Linked DNA regions of Solanum lycopersicum. The protein of the gene in region 1 binds, or shares a complex with, the protein of each later gene. Links are inferred from orthologs where the notes say so. Each region holds a gene or a part of one and is shown in the gene's direction. Other genes may lie near its edges.

Region 1 (5,241 bases):
AAAATAATATAAGAAGATGCTTTTTTAGAGTTAATTTTCCTAATTTTGATAAATAAATTAGATTAGATTGGATCAATTTAATATTTTAAAATAAATATTAAAATTATACAAAAGTACTACAAATTGAAATGTTTGAATATATACTCTCTCAGATTAGAAAAGAATGACCTCATTTTTTTTTTATTTTTTTTGTATTCAAATAGATGGATTAATTAACAAGATACTTTATTTGTCTCAAAATAAGTGTCATCTTAACTTGTTTCACGTCTATCAAGAAAATTAGAGTAAATAAAAGATATCCGATTTTAGTAAAGAGACACATTTTTGGATGGAGGGAGTGAGGGAGTAAACAAGACACTTACATTGAAATGGAAGGAATTCTATTTCCCAAGTACATGAAGGGAGAAAAACTCCTATTTTTCGAGTTCGATAGATAGAAATAAGCTAACACATTATAACAACAACATATCTAATATAGTAATTAAAATTTGTTTTTCCGTTGAATTTAAAATACTATTAATAATAAATACTATCTAATTAGAAATTTACAAAGTATTTGAATCGAATTTAACATCCGATTAATACCCTAAGTTCTGTGTGTATTGTTTATGTGAAAGTAGTATACTTGTGTGATATATTTATATATTTGTAGGCATACATTGTTGGAGAGCATGGTGATAGCTCAGTGGCACTTTGGTCAGGCATTAGTGTAGGAGGTGTACCAGTCCTCAGTTTCCTTGAGAGGCAACAAATTGCTTTGGAAAAAGAGACGCTGGAAAAAATCCACCAAGAAGTTGTGCACAGTGCATATGAAGTGATTAGTCTGAAAGGTTACACATCATGGGCAATTGGCTACTCTGTTGCTAACTTGGCTCGAACAATCCTTCGCGATCAAAGAAGGATTCACCCTGTTTCGGTTCTTGCAAAAGGGTTCTATGGCATTGATGGTGGCGATGTGTTCTTGAGCTTGCCTGCACAGCTTGGTAGAAGTGGAGTTTTGGGCGTGACGAATGTGCATCTTACTGATGAAGAAATTGAACAGCTTAGGAATTCAGCTAAGACTATTTTGGAAGTGCAGAGTCAGTTGGGAATTTGAAAAAAATAGTACTACTAGAGTCTAGAAACTGTTCATTTACCAATGTTACTATACTACTACTATATGTTGTTTCTTATTATACAGTTTGTTGAATTTTGTTTACGAAAAAAATAGTGAGTAGCACAAGTGTTGTAGCAATTGGTCATAGGACATATTGGCTGCTTGCTAGTGTGCTCCGTGGTGCTAACTTTGAAATAAATTGTAACACAACTTTTTATGTCCTTATAAAGAAATTTAATTTTATTATACTCCAATTTCAATATACTTGTGAAACGACAATAGTTAAGTAATTTTTCTGTTACAAAATAAAGTTAAGTGAATTTATGAGATAATTATCATTTGTTAAACTACTTTTATTACAAAATTAAATCGGATGACTTTTTGAGAATATAGTTATTAGCTGATCAGTGATCTCGTTCGAATAATCATCTGTATACTTTGAACAATTTGTTATGATTCAAGTTACTTTTAAATGTTCTTAGCAGAAGCAATTTGCTCTAGTTAAAGTGAAGGAATTAAGATAAATGCATCCTATGGGAGTTTCATCATTTGTATTACTAATAAGAATTAAAAAAAACCAATTTTAGTAAGATTTTTTTTTTCAATTATTGATTGAATAAATTGAAGCAACTCTTTCAATGTTTTGGGTATGTGAGATGAATAACGAAATCATATAAACATATTTATCGTAATATAGTTTTTTTTTCTAACATTTCCAGCTTTAGGAGGACGCTTTTGTGTACACTAATAAACTTTGGTGCTTTTAATGGAATTTACACTAAAACTAGGACCGAAATACAAAAATGGAGAAATTACCAAACGATGTCGTTTTGGTTCATTGCCTTAAGCTATGGAAAGGGCAGTTCAGTAACGCAATCTCTACTAGGGAAAAAAATTGAACTGAATCACAAATCGTTGAATTCCGAAGAACTGTCGGCGAGATACGAACGATTCCGATCATCGGAAAATGGCCGGAAGATTGAGTAATGTAGCTACTCGCATAATGGGCGGAAACGGTGTTGTCGCCCGCTCCCTCGCATCCTCTCTTCGAACACGCGCCGGCATGGGCCTTCCCGTCGGAAAACATATCGTACCTGATAAGCCGGTAGTGACTATAGTATAAATACATACAGTACTTATACTTTTTATGTTTCATTTTGTTTTTTTTAGTTTGATTGGCAAACCCTAATTTAGTGTTGATGTTTTTTCGTTATGATTGTAGCTTCATGTGAATGATGAACTTACATGGGACAACGGTACTCCTTTTCCCGAGCCTTGTATCGATCGGATAGCTGATACCGTTGGAAAGGTTGGATATTTTGTTCTAATTTAAGATTTGTTTTTAAATCACCAATTCATTTGCTACCGTTTACAATTTTTCATTTTTAGTCAAATTAGTTTTAATGTGTATTGGAGATTTACTTGCTGATGTTGGAAAGGTTTGATATTCTGATTAGGATCCCTATTTGAAACCCATGTTTATTCTTTTTATAATTTTTATTTTTGATAGTATATCAAATCATTAAGATTTTATATCTGTTGGAAAGGCTGGATTTTTGGCTCAAGATTTGTATACGAATCCCCAATTCATTGTTTCACCCTTTAGTTTGTTAATAAAAGTAATTATAGTCTGGAATTGGAGACTTCTATATGTGAAATCTTAGGATTTTGTATCTGTTGGTAAGGGGATTAGTATTTGAATCATCTTCATGGCTTTACCGTTCACGATTTCAAGTTTTTCATTTTTGCTAGTCAAGTTATTTATATAAGATAATTGAAGATTCTTGAACTGCTTTTAATGTCAGTATGAAGCATTGGCTTGGTTGTGCGGTGGGTTGAGTTGTTTTGTGGGGATTGGACTGTTAGCTGTTTGGAATGATAAAGCCTCCAAAATCCCATTTGTAAGTCTGCATTATTGTATTCCAATTCTGTTTTTCCTTTTTAGTGTGAAACAGTTATGCTTTTTTCTTTTTTGAATAGAATCAGTTATGCTTTTTTGACATACTTATCAGAAAAATAATGTTATGCTTTGATGACATTACTGTAGTACTGTACCATGTTGTCCAGATGCGAGTTGCATTTTTGTTGCGTGTGTTTTTACTATGGGTGGACTTGTATCTTGTTTACTGTGTCAATTTGTGGTAAAGTTACTTTAAGCTGTTTGTTGATCTTCGTGTTGGACGAATACTAAAGAACTCTTTTTTTTGTTGACTAAAGGGTAACTTTACTATAGAACTCTATTGCGGCTGTGGTTTCTTCATTCTGTGTCTAAATGACCAGCATCACGTGGATTATATTAGAGTTTGTTATGTGATCTTCTCCTTATAGGCTGGGAAATGATCTGTTGAAATATTATGGTACTATGACAGAATGATGTGATGCTAGGATCGAAAACCTAGTAAAGAGTATTACTTTTTCTTGGTCAAAGTATCCACATACTTTATTTTGCCAAACTTGAAAAATGCGTAGTCCCGAACTACCTCATCAGAGCATCTGCCTGATTCTCCGGTCCCTAACCCTGTCAATTCTTCTGTGCTCCCTCCTGGTGCACATGCACCTTCAGCTGAACCATCAGTGAAGAGGAGGATCGCCGGAGGTTTTACCACCTATAGTCAATCCAGTAATCTACCACTAGTTATAATGCCTTTTGTTATTTCTTAAAAAGAAAAGGCCGTCTCCAGTAGGCTGGTGAAAATATCTGTGGTGTAGTACTTAAAGTATCTGTAGAGATAGTATCTTCATTTGCTCTATGCACCACCTTAACAATTTTTTCTTTTCTTAACCTAAATTACTTCCTATTTCTGGGGCTGCAAGGACTAGTACCTTGTGGTTTGGATTCTTCACCTGAAGTTGTTCAATTAGAGCTTCCTATCCTACATTTTTTTTCCATGGCAATTTTCCTTATTGCTCCTTCTTTCATGTTTGGTATGAAGAAAAATGTTTTCGGAAAACATTTTCCTATTCTCTCTTGTTTGGTAGTGCTAAATATTTAGAAAGATTTTTCCTAAAATTAGTAGATATACCTTGTACTGGTTCTATCACTTTTGTATTTTTCATCCTCTGGCTGCTGTTTTGGTGAAATCCCGTTTTCTTCATCAAAAAATTTCTGTTTACTCTGTTAGATCATTCGTTGAAGAAGCCTAAGTTTTTACTCAATCAAATATATTTTGTTTCCACGATGAAGTGCTAAAAGATGAGAAATGTTTGCTGAAGAATATATAAAGAGACGTCTTGCATCATATCCTATTTTGAATTTATATTGTGCAGTAAATTCAAGGCTAGATGCTCTTTATTAATACTAGTCATGAGCTAGCTTTAATGACATTATTGTTGTATTCATAAAGTTATTTGCTGTTGATTTTGATTTGCTAGGTAGCACAGAAAGAAGTTTCATTATCTTATCGTTTTAGAAAAAAAATCATTGTGTTACCTACCCTTGGGGGTGGCCCAATGGTTTGAGCTTGGGACTTTCATGTTGGAGGTCCAAGTTCGAAACCCCTTGCCAGCGAAAGGCCGAAAGCAAGGGGTTTGCCTTTTGGGTCGAGCTCGTCGCACTAGACTTGCCTAGTGCGGGTTATCTCTCCTATGTGGTTTGCGAGCTATTGCACAGGAGCGTGGGTTTTACCCTGTGCGCACCCAAAGGGTAGCGGCTGCGGGTTTCCCTTGTCATAAAAAAAATAAAAAAAATAAGAAGACAATGTGTTCAATATGTGTGCGTTTGTAGCATTGAAGAAAGTTCTATCCTGAAAACGATGAAGGGTCAAAAATACCAGTAACATATTGAAAATGACTTATAATTACCCTCCTTCTACTTATTGAACCAAAGTTGCACTTAGCATTAAATTTAAGCCTAAAATTGCTCCTCCTTGTAACGGAAGCAAGTATAGAAAATGTGGTCTTTTCAATGTGGCATCAATTTATTGGTCCATGTGTAGTTACTAGTTAGACCCAATCAATTTACCACCCGACCCATGAATCCAAACCTGTTCTAAAAAGACCCCCACAACATCCTCTTCATTCTCTCGATGACAAAGACTTAATCACCTTCCTGCCAGCATCATACCCATGGTAATATGAAAGAACACCAGCAATGCCACTCAAGTATTGAACTTCAGCAAGGTGGCCTAATCCTGATCTGGAATCAG
Region 2 (4,794 bases), on another chromosome or scaffold:
TTGTATGGATTGGATTATCAATTTACACTCTATTTGGATTATTGTTATTCATTATATTGTATTGTATCGTTATTATATTTATAATATTTATTTTATTGTTACTTAATAGGTATTGTATCGTATTGTTAAATTTTGTTATTGCGTAACAATGAAAATATCCATTTTATCGAATAATCGATTCAGTGTATTTCCATTGTTAGTTAAATTTTTTTCCAATTATATCGTTACATTATATTTCAAAATACTATTTTACTCTTTACCTTATATTATTTAATTATAGTCAAGCCTCCTACCCTAGAATAATAAGAATATTTTAGTAAATTTATAAATTATAATATAGTACGATACAATCATATCAAACAATCAAAAATGTTATATTAAACAATAACAATAATTAAGTCTAGCCAAACATCGTATCTACCATACAATATAGTATAATATTATACAATACAATATAATACATTATAAAATAATGAGCAACAATTATCCAAACAGCGTGTTAACTAGTAGTTCAAAACGTTTTTTGTATTAGTGACTTGTTTTTTCAATTTAAAATTTAACCAATAATCCGATTTGTTAACTTTAGTGCCTTTTTACTCATTTTCTTCGCACTAGAGTCATACATATTTTGATATCATAATGATTCGATTATCGATTTAATAAAATCAAATTGAACCAACTGAATAAATAGCTCTAGTTTGAATTTGTAGATTATAATTAAGATAATATTTTACTCCATCGTATCACATTTTTTAATTTGGTGATGAACAACATATAATTACTTAGTATTTTACTTTTGTTTTTTGGCGGTGGCTCTTGTTGGGAAGGTATGATGACGACTGTCAAGAATTATAATATAGGTGTGAAAATGATGAGTTATTTAGTTGAGACAAGAGAGTATGTAGCGTTCGATACGATGAAAAATATTTTTTGTAAAAATATTTTAAGAAAATTAAGATGCTTTTTATTTTTATGTGTCTATAAATGTATAAGTGAAAATAAATTATTTATATCATAGAATTAAGTTATCCAACGTTGATAAGATACAGAAGCATTCTGTTGAGTCGACACTGATTTTTGAATTTTTAAGACACAATTTTTGAATTTTATTGATAACAACGTTGTACTTTTAAGACACGATTTTAAATTTCACTTGCATGGTTTTAAAATCTAAGGCATGTTCTTTGAATTTTACTCGTTAAATCTTAATCTTTAACACATTGTTTTTTCGACTAATTTATGTCAAGTATAGCCATTTTCGAATTCCAACTTGATATAATAATTTTGGAGAAGCTACATGATTAGATATATTATACTATTACTACTATTACTACTACTACTACTACTATTATTATTATTATTATTATTATTATCTATACTTTCAAAATATTACGTATCTTATCACTAATTAAGAATTCTCTGTCATATATTGACGAAGAAAAAACTAGATACATACACTTTTGTTATCAGATACATTAAAATAAGGAGAGAGGCAAGCGGATCGAGAGTGAGGTGAACAAGATTCATTATGTATATATATAAGATACAAGCGAATCACACTAGGTACATGTATATGCATGTATCTGGTGTGATTCACATATAAACAAAATGCCAAATACATAGGAGGGTGGCGAGCGAGAAGGGAGGGAGGCTGAGGAGATTTTTTCATGTATCCCAGATAAATGAAAATCCATTTGGTTACAATATATCTTGAACAAATTATACCTAGTTTTGACAATATACATCACGAGATACATGTACCTGGATATATCCAAAGGTATATGAAAGAGCCAAAATTAGTAAGATTCGTAATATTAGAAACTAGAGTGAATCTAAGTAATTAGCAGTAATGAGTTCTACGTAAGTTTCCCAAAAAGAATTGTAAAAGCTATTAGTACAACACAATTTTTATTGGGCCTAAATATTAGCCCAATCACTACAATCCCAAACATCCAAAGCCCAAATAACCCCAAAATAGCCCAAAAGCCCAACAATACCTCACAAACCACAAGAGCGAATCTCTACAGAGCAAACAATCGAAAAGAGGGGAAAATTCGCAGAGAAAAATCCCAAAATCGAACAAACGAAAGTCAATTTGGCAATGGAGGTTCCAGGTTCATCGAAGAAGATGATTGCAACACAAGAAGAAATGGTGGAGAACAAAGTGCCATTAGCATATAGGGATCAGTGCGCACACCTTTTGATCCCTTTGAACAAGTGTCGGCAATCGGAATTTTATCTTCCATGGAAGTGCGAGGATGAGCGCCATACATATGAGAAGTGTGCGTATGAGCTTGTTATGGAACGGATGCTTCAGATGCAGAAGATCCGTGAAGAGGAAGCACGAATGAAGCAAAAGGGACATCAATCCATTCCTCTCATTCCTAAGACTGCTAATGCCTAGTTTTTTTTCCCATCATCTAGGTCAGTTACCGCTACTTGATTTCTTTGTTGTTATAGTGATTGTTTGAATTGATCTCCTTATACATAGTTTCAGTTTTGCTCCAAAATTGCTGTGAGTTTTATTTTTGATGATGGTTTTTGACTGAATGTATAGGTTAAGATGTTAACTTGATGAAGGAATTAAATAGTTGTTTGTGAAGTTTGTTTAAATATTGCAAAAACTTGTGTTGTTTGTGGAATTGTGTCAAACATTTTGATAACTTAGACAGTGTTATACAAATTGGAACGGAGAACTTAGCTTTTATTTATTTGTTTCGCATTTTACTGACTTAGATTTCTCGGAAGGATACATGTAGGATTTAGAGAACCAGAAGACCTAAAGAATTTAACTAGTTTTTTACTAAAAGACGAATAATGTTGTATTGAAATGAGAAATTATAGTAATTGTTAAGTAGAAGGAGAATTCAAGTTCCAATACCGAAAGTGTTGTTAGTATTGGAATGCAACCATCGCTAAAGTTGCAATGGATCCTAGGAAACTAGGCTCATATCTAGAGAAAAGTATGAGTTTTGTGGACCGATATCTTGTACTTTTTGTTTGTTTGTGGAAGGTGGCATGTACTCAGCAGGTTAATTGACAAGCAGTAAAGTAGCGTAGAAACCACCATTATAATAGACACGTGAAAATATTGGATTAGTAGTTAAGTAGTTTGAAAGTTGTATATAGGAATTCCCTCTAAAAGAGTAGTATATAGTAATTATTATTTGAAGAATCGTGTTGACATTTTGGTAGTTCCAAAATTTGGTGAGTGTTATATAACTTGGGAAGGAGAAGTTGGTTTTATTTATTTTGTTTTGCCTATCTCTAATTTAAGAGATATCTTGGAGATTAGTATATCCATTTAAGCAGAAATGTGAGTTCAATGACCTTCAATATATACAGAATTCCCGGTTTGGCAATAAAAGACATATTATTTAGTATTGAATAGAGTAGAGTAGGTACTAAAGATTTATATTGGGGCTCCAATATGTATTAGGTCAGATGTATTTTTCTTGGAACGAAACAGGCTGTTGGATTAAGTGTAGTGGACATGGATTAGTCATATAGCCCACCTACACTGCTCTGGGATTGTGAGCATACTAGGAGTGATAAGATTCGAAATATGATATCCGCGGAAAAGTAGGAGTAGCCTTGATTGAGGACAAGATGCCAGAAGGTTGGATGAGATGGTTCGGGTATCTGAAGAGAAAATGCACGGATGTCCTTGTGCAGAGGCGTGAGAGGTTGGATGGTTTCAGGAGAGGTAAAGGTAGGCTGAGGAAGTGTTGAGGAGAGGTGATAAGGCAATACATGACACAGCTTCGGCTGACCTTGGACTTGACCTTAGATAAGAGGTTATGGAAGACACAATCACATAATAAAGGTTGAAGGTTAGTTGGTTAGTTGAGTGTTTTCTCACTATCCATCCATACTTGTAGTCATAGTCACAATCACATAAATAGATTTTAGGGGCATTTGGCACAACAAAACTCAGTATCCAGCATATGATTGGCCTTGCATTGAATAAAAGTTAAGGAGATCATAATGGATTGTTTCTTTGGAAAATAATGTGGTGCATGATTGAGATTATGGTGGCACATCTTTAGATTCTTCACATATCCATGCTTTTCACCTCAACTGTTCTTTTAGGAATTTAAGGATTTTCTCTGAAAGCTGTTGGTGTTCAGTATGCTCTAGCACATGTCCACGATGTGTCTATTGGAAACTGACTTCGTGTCTGATTGAGATTATAGTAATAAATCTTGAGATTCTTCACCATTGTTACATATATTTTCAACTTTTCCTTTTAGGAAATTGAATGTTTCTCTTACAGTTGGTGTCTATAGTTTCAAGGATGTTAGTTCTTTCTTTTTATCATAGTGAGGATATCCAGGTTTACTTGTGTTAGCTATGATTCATTACCATTGACTCTTTTCAGCAAGTGCAGACCTGAGACTAAATTTTAGAATCTGTCTGATATTTGATCTTACTTTTGTAACTTAGCAAAGAATTGAATCATTATTCTAAAAGTTTTTATAGCTATTAGGTTTGTCTGATTAGTGAGTAATAGTGTTTTTTTCCTAATCGTGCTTCATCTAATTGAGATATGAGGTGACTTTATGATCTGATGATTAAAATATTCCTTGGGTTTTATGGGTGATTCAGCTTATAGATGCGCAATGAGATCATTGATTTGTAAAAAAAAAGGAATCCTCTTTATTATGGAACTTATTTAGTACAATTTTATTTGGTTGTTTGGCTCATTCTCTTCTGGAAGGTCCAGCATCCTCACAATTATTCAGCAGTCAAGGTCCTAATTTGAAATTCTTGAAATTTTCATTATCTAGCTTG

The links.
Region 2: the proteins of NADH dehydrogenase [ubiquinone] 1 beta subcomplex subunit 8, mitochondrial (region 1) and putative NADH dehydrogenase [ubiquinone] 1 beta subcomplex subunit 7 are in contact, whole or in part, in a cryo-EM structure (PDB 8BEH), measured with the Arabidopsis thaliana proteins. The link is inferred for Solanum lycopersicum from reciprocal best matches to the Arabidopsis thaliana genes AT5G47570 and AT2G02050. Residues at the interface, in NP_568684.1 of Arabidopsis thaliana: Ser103, Lys104, Val105, Pro106, Phe107, Thr108, Pro109, Arg110, Tyr112, Pro113, Tyr114, Leu117, Glu120, Leu121; in NP_565280.1 of Arabidopsis thaliana: Met10, Ala12, Thr13, Gln14, Met17, Leu24, Gly25, Arg27, Asp28, Met29, Arg69, Met70, Ala72, Met73, Ile76, Arg77.

Annotation. Positions count from the first base shown.
Region 1 is NC_090807.1:64,704,016-64,709,256, forward strand, and holds the start of NADH dehydrogenase [ubiquinone] 1 beta subcomplex subunit 8, mitochondrial, read left to right. Parts: upstream 1-1,925; 5' UTR 1,926-2,063; coding exon 2,064-2,201; intron 2,202-2,318; coding exon 2,319-2,405; intron 2,406-2,901; coding exon 2,902-2,997; intron 2,998-5,241. Other genes in the region: ldh1 (L-lactate dehydrogenase), read left to right, coding at 653-1,096. UniProt on the Arabidopsis thaliana protein: Accessory subunit of the mitochondrial membrane respiratory chain NADH dehydrogenase (Complex I), that is believed not to be involved in catalysis. Complex I functions in the transfer of electrons from NADH to the respiratory chain.
Region 2 is NC_090803.1:2,707,058-2,711,851, reverse strand, and holds the start of putative NADH dehydrogenase [ubiquinone] 1 beta subcomplex subunit 7, read left to right. Parts: upstream 1-2,043; 5' UTR 2,044-2,101; coding exon 2,102-2,404; 3' UTR 2,405-2,424; intron 2,425-4,794. UniProt on the Arabidopsis thaliana protein: Accessory subunit of the mitochondrial membrane respiratory chain NADH dehydrogenase (Complex I), that is believed not to be involved in catalysis. Complex I functions in the transfer of electrons from NADH to the respiratory chain.